Linked DNA regions of Drosophila melanogaster. The protein of the gene in region 2 interacts with the protein of the main gene of each other region in a pairwise test. Each region holds a gene or a part of one and is shown on either strand. Other genes may lie near its edges.

The links. Proteins that work in one complex are often made in the same cells at the same time.
Region 1: the proteins of Drip (region 2) and mRpS26 interact in a two-hybrid assay, tested with the Drosophila melanogaster proteins (one large-scale study listed by BioGRID).
Region 3: the proteins of Drip (region 2) and RNASEK interact in a two-hybrid assay, tested with the Drosophila melanogaster proteins (one large-scale study listed by BioGRID).

What each region holds. Positions count from the first base shown.
Region 1 is NT_037436.4:18,103,603-18,109,147, forward strand, and holds mRpS26 (mitochondrial ribosomal protein S26), read left to right. Parts: upstream 1-2,976; 5' UTR 2,977-3,059; coding exon 3,060-3,268; intron 3,269-3,364; coding exon 3,365-3,833; 3' UTR 3,834-3,897; downstream 3,898-5,545. Other genes in the region: Polr3D (RNA polymerase III subunit D), read right to left, coding at 4,360-4,925, 4,978-5,046, 5,119-5,498.
Region 2 is NT_033778.4:11,425,436-11,432,483, reverse strand, and holds the start of Drip (drip), read left to right. Parts: upstream 1-2,838; 5' UTR 2,839-3,415; coding exon 3,416-3,431; intron 3,432-4,680; exon of another isoform or gene 4,681-5,032; coding exon of another isoform or gene 5,033-5,042; intron 5,043-7,048. UniProt on the Drosophila melanogaster protein: Forms a water-specific channel.
Region 3 is NT_033778.4:4,185,187-4,190,979, reverse strand, and holds RNASEK (ribonuclease kappa), read left to right. Parts: upstream 1-2,852; 5' UTR 2,853-2,965; coding exon 2,966-3,034; intron 3,035-3,100; coding exon 3,101-3,220; intron 3,221-3,287; coding exon 3,288-3,386; 3' UTR 3,387-4,145; downstream 4,146-5,793.

The sequences.
Region 1 (5,545 bases), on a different chromosome or scaffold from region 2:
TTTTTATTATCCCAGTTTTATGAGCACGTAAAACGCTTGGCTAAGAATAAAGCGTTCATTGAGCAGGCCAATACTTTCGCTTACTTTGGGGCTACAGCTAATTTTACGTAAGCATATCCCACCTCGAATGTCCTCATTTCCCTTCCCTGACTTGACTTTTCCTCAGCTTAATAGGTCAACTCGGTCAGGATTAGGTCACATGGGCTGCACCCACTTTTCGGTTGGCCAAAAAAGGCTAAGTTGGTAATTAAGTTTGAGGTCAGTTCGTCAGACGAGAATCTAAATGTGGCAGGTTGTTGTCGAGTTTGCCAGAAGCTCTTATCTGCGAGAACGAAATGTAATGGATTCCCTTGCGTGTCAGATTGTCATCATTTGCCTGAGATCATCAGAAGGGAGTCGTAAATATAGTTTGTCAATCTTTCGCTTGGCTGGTCGCTCTGATGGCAGGCTAAGATTGTTAAAAAAAAAAAACACTCATGACATGACCAGGAAATATACTTCAAGTAAAGGGATTTAGCTTAAGTGCTGCAATTTTCTTAGTTTTTTAGAATTCAGAAAAGGGTTTTTTTATTACTAATTTGCTAGTTATTGTTCTACTGGTTACATGGAGTTATACTCTTAAACATTATTAAAATTTGAAAAGATTTCATGCGTTGCATATATTTGATTACTTTGAAACAAATTTTTTTGCGCTAGTCTTTATAAGTTTTTTTTTTTTTTTGAATTTCACGTTTCGCTTTTGTTTTCCTCTTAATTAAGTGCAAAGCCGCACTGCGACAGTTTGTGACAAATTTGTTGTTGTTTTTTCTCTTCAACTTGCCTTTCAACTTGCAACACGGGCAAGAAGGAGAACTGTAATTTGGTTTAATTGCCTCACAACATTTGCTAATTAGGTTTTACAGTTGGGGGGAACTCTTATCAGAATTTGCGAATGTTCTCCAAGCGCGGAAAAAGTTTGCATATTTAAGTTGAAGTCAGCGCCCATTCCCCAGATTTCCCCCTTTTAGCCAACACCTGCTGAGCTGCCGTGACTGAAAGTCATTTAAACTGTTTTACTTGCTGATGTTGTTGCTGCTGCTGGCATAATTATTTTCCTACACATTTTTGTGTTTAGATTTTCAAAGACCTCAGGTTGGAGATGGGCAAATAAATTAGCAAGCAGATTTTGCACTTGCTCAGGCGTTCAAGGCAAGACTTTTGACTTCTGCGTCGCGTGGTGCAGTGCCCCGAAGTTGCAACTCTTTTTCGGAATTTTTAATGAGCGTTGTTGATAAGCCAAACGAGGTTATGTTGGTGGGAAAATAAGTTGTGTAGCGGGAATTTACTGGCTTAAATAAGTTAAGCTCACAATTTGATAGGTAATTTCAAACTATCACAGAAGCTAACCTAAATAGTTGGGAATATTAAGTATTTATATTGAAATAAAGGGAATTAGATTAGTACATTGTCGTTATCATCCAACAACTTTGCATTCTTTCTGTATTAATCTTGTTTAAATCACGTTTTTAGATATAAAATCTTATCTTAAATGCTGGAGAATGTGAAAGTAAACAGATTGAAAAAGTTGCATAAGATAAACATTCCAACGATTAGAGAGCAGTAAACTTTTAATCGTACAGTTAAGGTACACTAATTAAATTATAAGAAAAGAAGATGTGGCATTTTAAGGCACTAAGTTTTAAAAAGGAAAGTCTACATTACCCATTTTAGTTATTTAATTAAAAGAGAACAATAGAACCCCTGTTTCGTGCAGTTCAAGCAATTGAACAAATTCGATATGCAAAATTGATCGCCTTATAAGAATTTCCAGCTACGAAGCGATCCAATTCGATTCGATTCGATTCTGTGCGTGGTAAGCGGTTGGGATACATGAGACACACATATGAGACAATATTTACAGTCCAACCAGTGCGAATTGCCATTCCAATCAGAGGTAAACAAAAATCAAAAGCCAATGTGAAAAAAAATGCCAACAAACCTGTACGAGTTGTTCGCTGCCGCTGCGCTGCTGAAGCTCTGCTCCCGCCGACGTCTGCGTCGAGAACTTCGGCTTTAAAGCTCTCAGATGGAGTTTTTGTTGTTGTTCTTGCTGCTGCTGCCTTTTTGCATGTGCAAATCGAAAGAGAGCGAGAGAGAGAGGGAGCTATGGAGCTGTGGAGCCCACCAATACTCGGGCTTTTTGGACAGGTAAGCGAAACACGTCGCAAAGAGCAGATGAATAAGAAGAAGACGCAGTAATGAATGATCGTCGCTTTAACTTTTCGCTTGCATCGGTATGCGTGTGTGCATTTCTGGGAGTTAACTTTTAACACTTTTAGCCTTGGCAAGAGATATATACAATATGCACTTTCCACACTGCTTCTAACTGACTTAGCTTTTCAATAACGCACACTATTTTTTTAAACACGAACACACACACACTTTCAAGGCGCGCCGGCTGCGCAAGCCACTTTTGTTTTAAGTTAGCCCACGTACAAGAGGCGAAACAGCGAAGTTCCGTAGCTCGGATTTTAATGCGGCCAGCGCGGCGATATATCGTCGACTGAGTGAGCAGTTACTTTTCGTACCTTCCCGTCAAGTTCACCTGGCCAAAAGCTTTTAAGCCCGAGCTGAGCGCAGCGCAATTGTGAGAAACGCACTAGTGCGTTGGAAGTTTGGCTATTTTCACAACAGATCTGTCTGGACTTCAAAGCTTGTATCTTTGGACAAATAAAAAACATTCATAACCTGCGCAATTTAATTGCAAAAACTTGTTAGCAACGCAAAATTAAGCTGTACCTAAAAATATATCTATGTAGCTGAGTATATAATTATATTTTAATATGAATATGTACGACAATAAATTTAGTAAGTTGACAACCAAATTACTATTGCCTTTCTATCTGAATTTGATTTGTTAAGATTGATTTATTCCTTGATTCTTCGATTTTCCATATTGGTCATCACTGACGGAACCAGCAATCGAACTGCGCGGAACCAGTTCACCGACAACAGAGTTGCACAACAGTTCAGCAGCGGCAAAGTAAAAATTACATTTTGTTAATTAAACTGCTTTTATAATGCTGCGAGCGGGATGCCAGCTGCTGACGCAGTCCACCCTGCCCACCGGGAAGACGGTCGGAAATAGTTTCGCCCTCGAGTTCGTCCGCTGGCGCAGGAAACCGCGATGGCTGCCGGTGGCCAAGAGCAAGATGTTCCGCGTGCCTGAACGCAAGAAGCAGTCGGAGGAGGAGCGCACGGAGCTCATGAGGCTACACAACCAGTACAAGTGCGTGCACCAGCGCCAGATTCTGTCTCTGGTCAAAGATAATTTGTAATCGGTTTCAAAAGACGTTATACAAAACAATCTACGCCTTGATTTCAGAACGCAGCTTCGCTCAGTGCGTCAGTTTCTAAGGGAGGAAGTCGTCCGCCACGAGGAAACATCCACAGCAGATCACATCGTGCTCACTCCCGAGCAGGAGGAGGCCGAGTTCCAGAAATGCCTGGATGCCAATGCTGCCTGGAACGCTGCCATAGCCAAGGAGCGTGATCAGCGATTGGCCAAGAAGCGTGAGGAAAAGGTGGCCTATATTCAGGAGCGATTGGAGGCACAACAGCTGCGCGAGGAGGAGCGCAAGGAGCAGGCCAACCAGCGGGTGCTGCTCGAGATTGAGCGTTCCAAGAACTATATCACTAGGGAAAACTTGGATGCAGCCATTGAGACAGCGTTGGCCAATCCCGTGGACCACAATTTCGCCATCGATATGGCCGGTAATCTTTACCACGGACGAAGCACCTCTCAGCTCCCGGACGCCACTCCCGAACCCAACCAGCAAGTTTTGAGTAATTAATTAATGCAGTGTCTTAGTTTGTTGTTACATTAAAATGCTTTTTATAGGTTTCTAACCAAAGTTGAAAGTCCGTGTTTTTTTTTATTTTTCTGCACAATAAACAACACACTTAAGTATATTTGATTTGCGCAAAAGAATAGGAATTGGATAACCTAGCTATTGTAAAGCGATTTGCTAGAACTAGAATACTTTTCAAATTTTAAGACCGTATTTGAAATTATAATAATCACTTAATTTGAACATATAATATATCAACAATCCATTAACCTAAAAATTAATCTTGGGTCATTGCATTAAGTATTGATGGCTTAATTTACGTTACATATCCCCAAGTTCCAAGCCCATCTTTCTTGGAGTCTCTTTTATGTTCCATATTCGAGTACAATTGTTAATAACCTTTTGAAAAGCATTTGTATTATAAAAATTTCTATATTTAACTTTTATATACGGCATTTAGAATAGGAATAACTTAAGCTTAGGCGCAGCCTATTTACTATATTACATATCTACCATGGGGAAGTGGGTGCTACGTGCCCGGTACTGGATTCGTTCGCTTGGATGCCGCATCCTGCTGCTGGAAAAGGTGCACCCAATCTGGAGTGGCCTTTAGTTTGGCTTGAATGGGTCCCAAGTTGATCATGTTTCCACTACGTTGCTCGCGATTGGCGGTTACAGACATGAGTTCCTGCAGAAAACCCGGATCGAGACCCATATCCAAGTCAAAGCGTGTGTCCCCCAATTGGAGTTTAACGCGACCGGATTTGTACCTCAGAATCTTGCCGATCTGCCCTTCTTCCAGCTGCCGTAGTACACTGCCCTTGGGTCCGTTTGAGCATTTGTCTGCAGGACTTGCTGGTTCCGATTCACTGGTGGCCTGATGATCTCCTTTAGACGGTTCCGGATCTTCGGAATCGTCGCCCACACATGGCAACACATCTGGCAGTTGCATGAGAAAGATCTGCGCTTCGCTGGAGTCCAGAAAGTTACCAATGGTGCGTGGGTAGCGACCGTACTGCAGCGGAGGTTCCTCTAAACTGGCTGCCTGGGCAGCCACATGCAGCTGTTGCAAATGCTGGGCCACTGCCAAAGTGTCTAGGAGCGAAATCAAATTAGATTATGCCATTTTTAAAGCTTAGCGCCTTACCCTTAAGTGTTGAGGTTGAACTGGCGATTTCTTGCTTCGCAATCGGTGTCTTCTGGGTGACCCAGAGTCCTAACGTTTATAAACAAATAAAGCATGAATTTCTTCTGCCCGTGTGCATCAAAAAGTGCTTGTAAAACGTACCCTCTTTTAGCAGGATGGGCCTGAGTGCCATCTCAGTCTTGTTAGCCTCCTCTTCGCTGAGCTCGCCGCCACTGGCGTCCGACTCGCCCAAGAGCTCCTTGATCCGCTCGGCCTGGCTCTTGTCGTCCTTGCGATCCACCCGTTTCCTGGTCACGGACACCTCCTCACCGCCCCGTGCATATGCCGTTCCATTTCCTGTGGACCTTCGCACATGAACATCGCCTGCTCCTTCGGAGAAGAGTCCCTGGGTTTGGATGAGCGTGGAGTTGCCCCCGCCAGCGGAATTTCCACCTCGACCACGTGTTGCTCCAGTGCCGTTGCCACGTCCACCTCTGCGGCCGCTCCTTGGCTGCGTGGTGTCCTTGGATGTCTTGACATTGCTGTGAATCAAATGAGATGATGAAAAGAATGACTCCCCCTGGGCCAT
Region 2 (7,048 bases):
GTACCATATATCATACCTAGAAAACCCATCTGAATCTTAATTTGCATAGACCATAGTTTTCAACTTGGGCACTCACGCATCGCGAAGACTCACAGTTTTACACCGGACCCACTAACCAAGATTGATGGAGTGTCAAATGGCGGAGATAGAGCATCGCAGTTGGAAAAGAGAAAAAAAGGCGAAGAGGGGGTGGACTGCGACATTGACCTTTATTCGATTTTTGGCTGCTCGGCTCGGGCCAAATCAATCAGGGGCTCCAAGTTTTTGCCACCTGATTGAACCAATTTCGGGGCATTTAATTTTCTACCGACTCATTGGCGCTCATTGTGCGCCCCAAAAAAATAAATCATTTCAATTCGTTTATTAGCCGCCCCCAAAGGCGTACTGAGTTTTGTACCCATTCGGTTCGAGATTATCATCGTTTTACCCTGTGCGCGCTTACACGTTTATATATTATACATCGTTGTTTACTTTATATTTTTATTTATCATTTTCTTTTTCGCTTTTTTTTCTTCGATCCACTTGCCGATCGTCCGTCATTTTCAGTTACAATTGCCAATCTTTCAATGTCACTGGAGTTCGCTTACGGTTATTATTGTTACCGTATTTCGAATTGTTTTCGAAGCATCTCACAAGAGCCAAGTGCAGAGAAAACAGATAATTGCACAAAACTGAATTAAATTTAATTTGGATTTGGTAATTGCAGCGACCATTTGAATGATTTATGTATATGGTTTGGCATGGGTCTTGAACAAATTGTATTCGCTTCATTGGAGGATGATCGTCTGGGAATCAGCGGGATTTCCAGTATTACTTATTGATTATATCCTACTAGATTATTAAACTTAAATGATATCTTAATAATATTTTCAGTATAAGTTCTAAAGAGGGAAATAAACAATTTTGGTAATTTACCCACAACAGCTACGTACTATCTGTAACTAGCATTAACAACAATTATTTCCAATGTCTAATTCTGAGTTTTTACTTTGTGCCTTTCGATGAATTCAAAGTTTTGTTAAATCTATTTTACAAACCTATAGTAGATAATCTGCAACTGCTTAATAACAATTAAAGCGAATCTAATTTGATGATTTCAACTATTCCCATCTAGTTACTAGATAAAATTATACTTTTAATTGGTATCGTTGGGCAAACTCACTTTGGTGAATGAAACTCCAGTTGAAAAGGAGCCAAGATCTATTGGTAATTCGACAGGCATATACCATCTCCACATCGGCGATTATTATCTCGCCCATTTAGCCAGAGTTTGTGCCATTTTAATGCTTAACTGCCATTAAATATAATTACTCATTAAAGCAAAAGAGCCCCGGCATGTACATACATACATACTTCGCTTGAATTCCCCATGCGAAGGCACAAATAAGTCCGTCTGCGATTTGGCTCTTGTTTTCATAATGGGCCAAGACGCTTCCCCACAAACAAAATCGCAGCTCTTGGCGAGCGAGTCTTCTTTTATTTTGGCTTGTCACTTGTTTTGTCAATAACTCGCAACTGTTGCTCTGTTAAGAGATAAAAATAGCCCGCGACGACGACAAGGTAAAAGCCCTTTTCACCAGCAAAGCCCCGCAATCAATATGGCATATTAAAGTTGGTGAAAAGCTGTTTAAAAGTGAAACTGATAACGGCCCAACCGTCCATAACCCATTAGCCGCGTTTTAAGTTGGAAAAGCTGCAATAAGGTGCCATTAAAAGAAAATGAAAACTGTTCCGGCATTGGAATGGTTGAGTGGGTGGGTGGTAGGTCTAGTACAACCGTTTGGTGGGTGGTTCAAACAGTCACGTGCAGCGTTTGTGGATTATCAAAAGTCAAAAACCCCCTGTAATGATAACATCTTAGCTATGCGATAATTGAGTCTGAGGTTCGGCATGACCAGCGCAATTAGATTAATCAAAAATGTGTTTATGGCTCCTTGAGTGTCCATATATCAAGTGAACAAAATGGCAGGCGAATAATAGTTCTTAGGCTGTGTGCAAAAACCCAAAATGGCTGTGAACTTTCCCCATGGTCAATAACAATTCGATTATGAACTTGGCCATCTGTCGGCTAATTGCAATTCATTGGTTTTTAATTGGCACCATATAAGCAATGCTATATTTTGGGAGCTTTTATGTGATTATCACATCACATTTACCAAAGACTAAGCAAGACAACCATTTTCTATTGTATATATATCTTATACATGGATATATGTACATATGTGCCTATCTTATCTATATTATATCTATGTGATTCGTCTAAAGACTAAGGCCCTTGAGTGGCTTTTTCGGATATGAAACAGTTGATTTAAACCGATGTTATGCCAATTGGTTATAGAATAACTTTGGGGGAGAGTCCATATATCATCAGTAACGGTTAGCAGCTGATAAGACCATGACTGGAAAATGTTTCGTGTTATGGGGTAGACTCGAATGGGGTATTACTCATACTCATACGTTTTGTTTTAAAAAACAATTACGCCACAAGTTATACTGACTAATTTCACTCAGAACTAACTGAGAGCTACTTTCGAAGGGCAAAGTAGGGATTTATTGTAGTATTTGGCAAGCAACTCACTTTGGCCAAAACAGAGCCATCAAAAGCCACAAGAGTCATTACAAATGTTTTCGCGCCCCCATTCGATTAAGTCATCCGGGGTAGGTGTATTCCGAGCTTAGATCCTTTGAGGCGTCCAAGTGGATACATGCGGAGCTCCGCGGTGGCCAAGCCCCAAAACTAAAAAATCTGAATGGGGCAGTGACGGCGACGCGACTGCGACGCCGACCGCGACGACGACCGCGGCAGAGAGTATATCAGTTACAGTCGCAGCGTTGGCAACGCTTATTTGCGCTCGAGCAGCGAACGTGGTAGCACAGCTTTAAGCACTACAGCACTACAGTACAAACTGCGAGAAAGAAAAGCGGCAGTTTCGAAAATCCGAAAAGGAAATCGAGTTCGGAGCGGTTAGTTTAATTGGCGATAATAATAAACTAATAATAAAATCGAGTTATTGCACGTTGCGCTTTCCAATTTCGAAAAGGAAATCTGAAAATATTGTAGCCCAGTGAAGAAAATAAGTCAATCGGGTGAAATTAAATTGATAACAACACCGCTTTCCGCCCCATATTCGACTCCGTGTGGTCAAGTGGCAGACAATTGTGCAACCTCAAGACTCTTAACCTTAACAATTATATTTCGGCCACAAAAAACTATTGGCACAATTCAGTTCGATTCGAGTGCGCGCTAACTCACTTTTACCCGCAGCAAAAAGCAATAAGGCAAAAAGCACGCTTTGAAAACGAAAGCAAAGCACAAGTTCGCTTCGAAACCCCCCACGCTTGCCAAAAATCTCAAGTGGCAGCCCCCAGAAGACAGTAGATCGTAGCCAGAAGACCGAAGACAGAAGACAGCAAAATGGTCGAGAAAACAGGTGAGTGATTGGCGATTGGAGGCTGGAGAATGCGAAATATGCGTGTGCGTGTGTGCGAAGGTTAATTGCGAGCAAAATTTGGGGGCGAGAGTGCGGCAAATTGTTATGGTTTTGTGCGAAAGTTAATCCCACTCTTTTGGGGCTTTCAACTTTTGCTTGAATAATATCACAAACCAATGAGAGTGTATAATTTCCAAAACTATTGATCGAAATCGTTTGCAATTTGCTATTGCCAGTGTATCAATCCTTATGTTTTTTTACATTAAAATAAAACGATCAAAAGTAAACCATAAAATTTGTAATGAATACAGTTTTAACAAATCTACTTTTGATTTAATAAAGCACCCAGTTTGTTTATTGCAAAATAGGCCCCTCTTTGGATTTCACTTTCAAAGCAAACAAATAGTAACCCAAAATTTGCCTTAAATTAATCATTCCTTCACAATTAATCAACTTTAATAAGCCATCGAAAGATGTTTTGATAAATCATCTTTTTCTTTTTTTTCTTTCTTTGTTTTGGGTGGTTGGGCGAATCAAAGAGTAGCCCGCCTGTCGATAACGATAACGAGATGATTGGTTTTCAATAATTTCTCTGACACAGCATGACAAAGACAGCAAATTAGCCCCGAGTTATTTTTTTTTTTATAGTTAGACGTAGTTTTTTGTTGCTTTGATTTAGCTTCCGTGGCGATTGATGATGATTTCTGTAACTGAAAGTTTGCATGACAGAAAAGCCTGGAAAGAAAAAAAAAAGATAGATAGGAGAAAACTTAGCTAGGTAAACAACAGCGGAAACTCCGGCCGAGGCAATTTATGCGATGATGATGTTGATGGCTCCCCAACGAAAGCAATAAAACCACACCGAACCGAGTCAAGTCAGTCAAGTGAATGAACTGGAGGAAAACACCCTAAGAGCCAAATAAGTAGGAACTTTTATTTGTGCGATCTGAACAGTCAAATTAATTAAAAACCTAATTGCATTCCTCTGGTTGCTTCGCAGAATTAAAGCCAACCTCTGGCGTCATTTTCGCCGCCTGTTCCGCCGATATCGTTGTGATAATGACCATAATATTTACCCGGCACTGAATACTCATTTGCCAAGCCAAGAATTCTCGGTTCCAGCTAATTAATGTCAACGCCTGAGCATCTATTTGATCAAGTGTTTAAACACAGGGCTCAATATTTGATTTAGATATTAAATATGTTCACTTAACGTGGCTGCTTAATGCTCGGGTGGAATTTTGAGACCAGTAAGCGTTTAAAAATAGTCGAGTGAGGTGCGTGAGAAATTCGCAGCCCTTTGGCGCTGAAATTCTGCAAATTATAGTACAAACGTGTGGCTAATTTGATATCCCTCTTTCGCTTAATGTCTTCTCCGCCTCATAATTCAATGCGTTGTCATCTTGGACCAACATCACTTTATACATATATATATATATATATATATGTGTAGACAGACTTCCACCTGACGTTAGTAGCTGCTGTTTTTGTGGCGACGGATTCGCAGATATAACAAAATTACAGTAATAATCGTGCGCGGAGTTGACATGACATCACGGTGAAATTGGCATTCAAAACAGTAGCAAACTTAAGGCCAGGAAATGGTTTTTGGTATGACTGGAGAACATTTAGACATTTAACACAGTTAGTGCACATCCCCATTTACTTAATTCCATCCAACCGAGCTCCGTTCTCAATGGAAGATCAACTTGTTTGTTAATCGGATAGCTTATAATTAAGATAATAAGCTGCCATTGAGATGCACAGAAGCGAAGATGTTCGGTTCCCATGGAAAGTTTTTGATTCACGTAACGTTCAATTAAGTTTACGGAAAATAATTGGAATGTTCATATATCTATTGATTTGATGTAGAAGTGACTGTGTGCCATACCGAAAATTTAGTCCGCTTTGGTGTACAAATTGCATATTTTGCAAATTTAAAAAAACAATCCGAAAGAAATACAACTTTGTTGCCTTTTAAAATGCCATCCATTATGTGCCTGAAAAACAGCCTTTCAGTCTCCCAATTTTCCCTATCGTGTCGTCTCAAATTATCGCCATTAATTGACAAACTTCCAAAGTTAGTCATAAACCACAAACCCCAATAAATTGCCTTTGATTTATGGTGCATTGTAAACGAGTTAAGCGACATAAATTCGTTTGGAGCAAAAGCCCATAAAGATTATAAGTGAGTTTGAACGTACTCCTCCCGCACAGCAAACGAGCAAACGAAAACTGAATAGTCCCCTGCCCATCTGACTAATTAATTTATAACGATTTTAATAGCCAGCGAACAGGTTTCGATCTTTCCCGCGACTGTTATTAATAAAATCATCACCTTGCCGAACAAAAGTGCCCAAGAGTTGCGCAAAGCCGAAATTAATAATCCGATTAAATTGATTAATTGTTGTAGACGAAAAATGGATTGCAAACAATATGCCAGAACCTTTTGTTTTGCACTTACAGTTGCGAAATGAATGCCTTGTGCACTTAACTTCAGATGAACGACAATAACATAATTTGCATTTGTGGTTAAGGAATTACGCGTGTAATTTCACACAACCCAATAAACATTACTTAAGACACTCCCTTTAGTCCTTTGTTCAGTTCTCTGCGCTTAATGCGTTCCAAACAAAGTCTTAAAGTCAAAGTCATAAAAGCTGTCTTTTCAAACTTCACTAATTTATTTAACTTTCTTGTCGATTATAATTGCACACGTGTCCCAAGTGACGTCAGTCAAGAAAATTAGCACTTAAAACGCCTCAAAAACTATCATAAGCCATTAAGCTAGTTCGGGCGAATCCCTTTTGCCATTCAGATCCCATTCCATTTTGAATGATTGGGAAACATATGAGCAGAAATGGTCATAAATTAGGAAACTTATGCCAAAATTGCGTGCCAGGATGAAATTAATGAGTTTGGTGGTACGGAAAACGAGGTGAGAAAAGGCGACAGGCGATGACATTGCTCATGTTCTAATAATACGCAGATAAGTCATGGCTAACCCAACCCCAGTTCGCCAATCAGCATAACCAGCCAAGTGATTCGGGGCCAGGACTTGGGAGCGGCTTCCGAAGAGCCAAGCCTTTGACTTGGCCTCCATTCATGGGCACGTGGGCTCCACCACTAGCCCACACTTTGATTTTCGCTTCAGCCAAGGTTGGACACGAGAGGCACACTGAGAGAAAAATGTACTCGCAAATGCTGGCTGATAGCTGTCCATATTAAAAAGGGTAATCCTATCGTTAAAAACGAATGTTGTTATCCAAAAATCTTATGTGATAGTTTTACCATTTACTAGATACCACAAAAAATACGGTATACACTTTCCCTTCTGGAATCTACACCCTATATCTCTCAGTGTCTGCTCAGGATGTGAGCACATTGGAAACAAGCAGGTGGAAGACCATGTCGAGCGGACATCCGCGGCAACATCGAGCTTATGGGAAATGCAACGCCGCTTTTCCCGGGGGCCAGACATGCACTTGACTGTCCCGGCCAACTTGGCATAGATTCCGATTCGGACACAATGTAGATTACTATATTTGGGTCTGGAGTCGCAACGATTCCCAGTGCCCCGGTGCCACTAATAACACCGTAATTATATGCAGCCTAGC
Region 3 (5,793 bases), 7.2 Mb from region 2:
AAAAAAATATCCAACAAATGTGGGCGGGTTAGTTTTGGGCTAAAGTGAACGTGAAAAAAGTTTTTTGCAAATCAAAATTTCTTTCGATTAAAAATGTGAACGAATTGTGAACGCTAAGAGCGTAAGAAATATAAAAATAGAATTTTCTTGCTTGTGTGAGTAAAAAAAGAGAAGAGAACGCCTATATGTGTGCGTGTTGTGCTAGAATACGATTTTCGGGACGAAATCAATTCTGATCGAAGAAACGATTTTACATATTTGGGGAGTTTTGGCCAATTTCGTAGCAATATGATGAAATTGCGCGCTGTTAAAAAATATCAAATTTGAATATAAAAAAAAGAATATGAAAAAACAACTGAATCTAATGTGCACTTTAAATAATAAAATTTGATTATTTACATACATAATATTAAAATGTATATCAATATTAAATATTATAATAATATTAAAAAATATCAAATGACTAATAAATATACTAAATAATTAAAGCAAATACAAAGGAAATTATTATAACTACTGTAATCTAAAACATAAATTTTACAAATTTAATTTTTTACGCGCCGTAAGCTGAATACTCTAATGACAAATATTCTAATGTAAAGTCATTTTTGAAATTTATTTTGTGATGTACATAGATTTCGCTATTTCTAATCTATTTTCAAATAATAATAACGTTAAGGCAATGCAAACAAGAATTTTTCGCATGGTGCCAATTGATCAAAAATAATACAGACTTAAGACTTTGCTTAGACTTAGACTTTGCATTGCCTTAAAAGTCTAAGAACTTCTAAGGAGAAGGGCATATTTTGTCAAATTTACAATGCATGTTGTCTGCTATCACTGTATGCGTAGAAAAGAGCTTTTCGCTGTAGCGCTCTCCGCTCTCTCGATCTTGAACAAAAATTCGGGAGAGCCTGGAGCCACCTCTAGAGCCACGCCGAAAAAATCGTGTGCCAAAAAGTCGTTATGGCGGTACGCATCTTGTTATTCTAGAGTCTTTGATAAAACCCTATCAAAAAATAAGACAAGACGAAATTGTAGGTTGTCAATATTTTTGGAAAAACCAAATCAGACGCATGTGAACTCGTTTATCGCGCGAGGCGAGTTGCATCTCAATTGCGCTGAAGAATACATGTTTTTAACTGGTGTCGGTTGATGGATAGACTGGAAGTATGAAATCGATCTTTCGGATAAAGGCACTGAGTTCTGGGGTATTACCACTGAATGTGGGTATTTGCCTAATTTGGCTTAAGGCTTGATTCAGATGGGATTCCGATAACAGTTTGACTTGCTCGGTTGCCATGGCTGATGATTTTATTTTTATTTTTGTTTTTACACTTTTATTGACCGTATGCAGTAGGTTTGACTATTGCGTGTCAACCACCGATTATAAGTAGTTCTTTTGCGGATAAAAGAGTTAATTGTATTACGATTTTATGTTCACTTTAGCGCCGATTCGCGTGGTTCAATCTTAAGCAGGGTTATGGCGATTGATAACGTACTCAGAACTGAACTAACGTATTGGGGCATGTTTGGGTTTATGTAGGCAGATTGGGATAGCTTAAGAGCGAAGCTTAAGAGAACAACGTTATCAACGTCTATTCTCCTGTTAAGAGAGGAGCTTCCGAAAAATAGGATTAATTGGAGAATCCTGAGACGATTGTGTGGGCGGAAGTTTTTGTTATTTCAGTTGGTTCACCAAGTGATCGGATATTTAGGGGACGTGGACGTTGGCTCGACGCAGAGTCTAGACTTTGGAATTCGGACTTTTGCACTTTGCTGTGAGTAATTGACAGCTAAGCTTAATCGAAGGGCTCTCGATCTTTAATTACATTTCGTACTTACACATTGATGTGTGTGTGTAATTGTTTACGATAGTGTGTGTGGTTGGGGAGTTGTGGGTATAGAATGGATATGTTAATATATATATATGATATAATATAATATATATATGTCGGTGAAGCCGAGCGTCCAATTAATTAGCACAGCAAGTCGCCTGCGTGTTGTCTCTTTGGCAGTTCTCACCAGACTTATTTACTCAAGCGTCGCCTTCTCGATGCTATTCTTCTATTTCTCATCTTCAAAATTCTTTTTTTGTTTTATCCTTACTTCGTTTCCACAAAACTCTACCACAACAACAACAGGCGCCATGCTAATTTGAATACACACACAAATGATGCCCACTCAATAACGGAACTCATTCCGTGAATTTTATTACTCGCTGCTCATCCTTAACATACGGATCAATAAACAAATGTCGGTTACATTCAAATAATAATTCAAATAATATGTTAGATCTACTCAATCTCCGACATATATATTAAAATATTAATAATTATAATAATAAAATTAATAATATTAAAATTATTATTATTATATATATATATATGTATATATATATTTATTTATTATACTTATTGTATTGTATTGTATATATATATATATATATATAATATATATATTATAATATATTATATATATATTGTTATATAAATTAACAGGCAACGATTTTGTGTATTGCGATTTATTATGCGACTATGCGCGTTCTGATGAGTTTTAAAACTAAAGACAGAAAACTTAAGCTTAATATGAAGTAGCCCGTTTTCTGAAGCAGCGCTCACGGCAGAATGCTGACATCGCGCTTCACACGCTCCGGGCAGTAGAATGTTGACCATTGCGCTTCACACGCTCCGGGCAGTGACTAAAATTACTAAAACGGCCCTTGTTCCTTTTCCACCGCTCCTAAATCGTCACTAGCTCACCGACGCTAGTTTGACGAGCTTATGTTTTTTATCGCTTACATTTGCATCAGTTTTTTAATTTTATTTGTGCACAGCCACACCAAAAGTTTGGTCACATGATATGTTCACCTGACAAAATCACAGTTTTCATTGAGGAATTGTGACGAATTGTGTTTGCTGAAACTTTTTATTCTCTTAAAAGTGTTTAACAAAAATTTAAGAAAATGAAAATCTGTGGCCCGAAACTATCACTTTGTGGTCTTATTATCTCTGTTTGGGGTATTGTCCAATTGGTGAGTACTGAGAATCTAATTTCGTCAAAGTTTCAAAAAGTAACCACTTACATATTTATGTTAAAGGTTTTAATGGGTCTATTCTTCTACATAAATAGTGTAGCCCTCATTGAGGACTTACCTCTTGAGGAGGAATACCATTCGTTGGAAGATTTTTATGCAGCTGCAAATAGAGCATACAATCAGGTATGTTCTCTTTTTACAACAACCATATGTACACATACGTCTGCTAATGCAAGGTAAATTTTTTCAGAATGCCTACAACTGCTGGATTGCCGCATGTATATATGTTTTGACTTTGTTGCTCTCCGCCCAGCAATTTTACATGAATAGCAGAGTAACTGCCAACTAATATTTCAGATGTAGTTTCCCAACTACTTAAAACTAGTATTGAAATTTTCCCTTCGATATATTTGTTAGAGGTGTTTTCCTTTTAATAAAGTTAAAGTTCAATTTAAATGTTACAACATGCTTATTGTATTAAGGGGCGGAGTGAGGAGTTTGTGTTTTTTAAACCCCAAAGAAGACTATTCACTTCATTTTTTATGTTTCATGTGTTCAGTGCGCCATTCACTTCTTATTTCTGTTATATATTTAAATTTTGAGAATTAATATATTTGATTACTATAGTAGCGATAAATCCAAACTCCGGAATTTCCTTCAGAGTCATGAAAGCACTTTTTTTTATTAAAGAGGTCAATCTGAACAAATTGTTGAAATGATATTTTATTTCTCCACGGGAATTTTACCTACGGAAGACCTAAAAAAAGGTATTTTAAATGTTTATTACGGTTATTACTGATATTGTGTGGAACGGTTTGGCGAGACATGAATTATTCGTACTGTTTTTAATTTTGTTGATAGCTATTATTAAATTACCCAACTTACAAATATTTTATTTATAAATTAATTAAAGTAGTTAGTAAGGTCATTACTGTCTTGATTTCCTATATCAAGCTGGTAATTAATTATGTTACGTTACGTCGTTCTGTAACATGTACATATGAACACGAGATTATCTTGTGCGCTGTGTTGCTGTATCCACATACACTAGTCGGTAAGCATTTTGACAAAATAAACTCCAAACCTTTTTTCAGTGAAACTTTTAAATGGTTTAATATGATAGTAATGTCTATTTTTTGTGTGTAAGTAAGTCGAACCTTTACTAAATCCTCCATATTGTAAAGGATCATCTCTTTAAAAAGAGAAGTGATTTCAGAAATCGCCTTCTAACGAGTTTTGTGTCACGGAACAGTTATTTTCCGTTTTAAAAGAGACCAGATTTCTTAATTATATTTAAATCTGGACTTTGAGGTGCACAATTCAAGAGAGTGACGCCAACAGCCTTTAGAAACTTGGCTATCATTCGGGCTTTGTGGCACGGAGCATAATCTTTCTGCAGGATAAATGATCCTCGATCAGCCTATTTCCAGAAGGAAACGCATTTTCGTTTAGGGTCGTCAAACATTGCCTTTGGTTCATCGAGCCGGAGACAGGGACCAAGTCACCGAACCGAAGACACTAGAGTAACAGATGCGTAGTGCCATACTCTCAAATTTTTGTTCGAGAGCGAGAGAGCGGAGAGCGCTACAGCGAACAGCTCTTTTCGACGCCTGCAGTGATAGCAGACAACTGTATGTGTGCACACGTATGCTCATGCATTGTAAATTTGACAAAATATGCCCTTCACCTTAAAAGTTCTTAGACTTTAAATCTATATTATTTTTGATAAATAGGCACCATGTGAAAAATTATTGTTTTGCATTGCCTTAACGTTACTATTATTTAATAAAGCTTAGAAATAGAAATAGCCGAATCATAATATCACAAAATAAATTTCAAAAATGACTATATTAAAATAATTGTCATTAGAGTATTCAGCTCGCGACGTTGTGTCCGCACTTCGTGCCTCAAGATTTTTCAAGACTTTTGTAATAAACAGTTTTTTAAGCAGTATTTTCTACAACGTATTATTTGTAGACAATTTTTTTTCAATGTAATGACTTTTTTTGGAAAATTTTTGTTTTATAATTACAATTATAACAATTTCCAAAATGTGTTGCAATAGTAAAGTACGGAAATATAAGCGCAAATAGTAATTGGTAAGTAGTGGAAAATAAACGCGAAGTTCATGTAAATATAGGACCCATTACAATTGTAGTGGCCTCCCCGTGGTGTTCCCTGGGCACCGATTATTACATATGTATGTCCTCACGCCCTGTGCCATTAAACGTCGTCAAACTGGGCGGCCACTACTTTTGGGAAGCCTGGCGGTCAGATTCCACTGCGTTTCAACGGCTGGGGTTTTGGAAAATTTTTTTTTAAATTCCCTCATAAAGACTTTGTCGTCAGTGAATGTTGTTAAGGCCGTTAAAACCTTTTAAGTTTTTTTAAATCATTATGTTTTTATACTTTTTAAATTGATAATACACAGTTTGACGCGGCAATTTAAACTGCTTCGCAAAGTTTTTTACTTTAATTCCAACGTTAAACTGTGCTTCCATTGATGATCTACAACAATAAACGAACTTAACTGGGCCTTTTCACCCATGGCCATCAATCAATAAATTTTTTTTATTTTTTCTTTTTGTATAACGTTTAACATCATAAAAAGTACAATTTAAACAATTTTTGATTTACAAGTGCTTCAAAAAAGGATACAATTTACTAAATAAGCTTGTCACAATACTTGTGCCAAACAAAAATTGATTGTCTGCGTGCAATCTTGTAAGAGAATGTAATGGGTAATCTGTACAAAA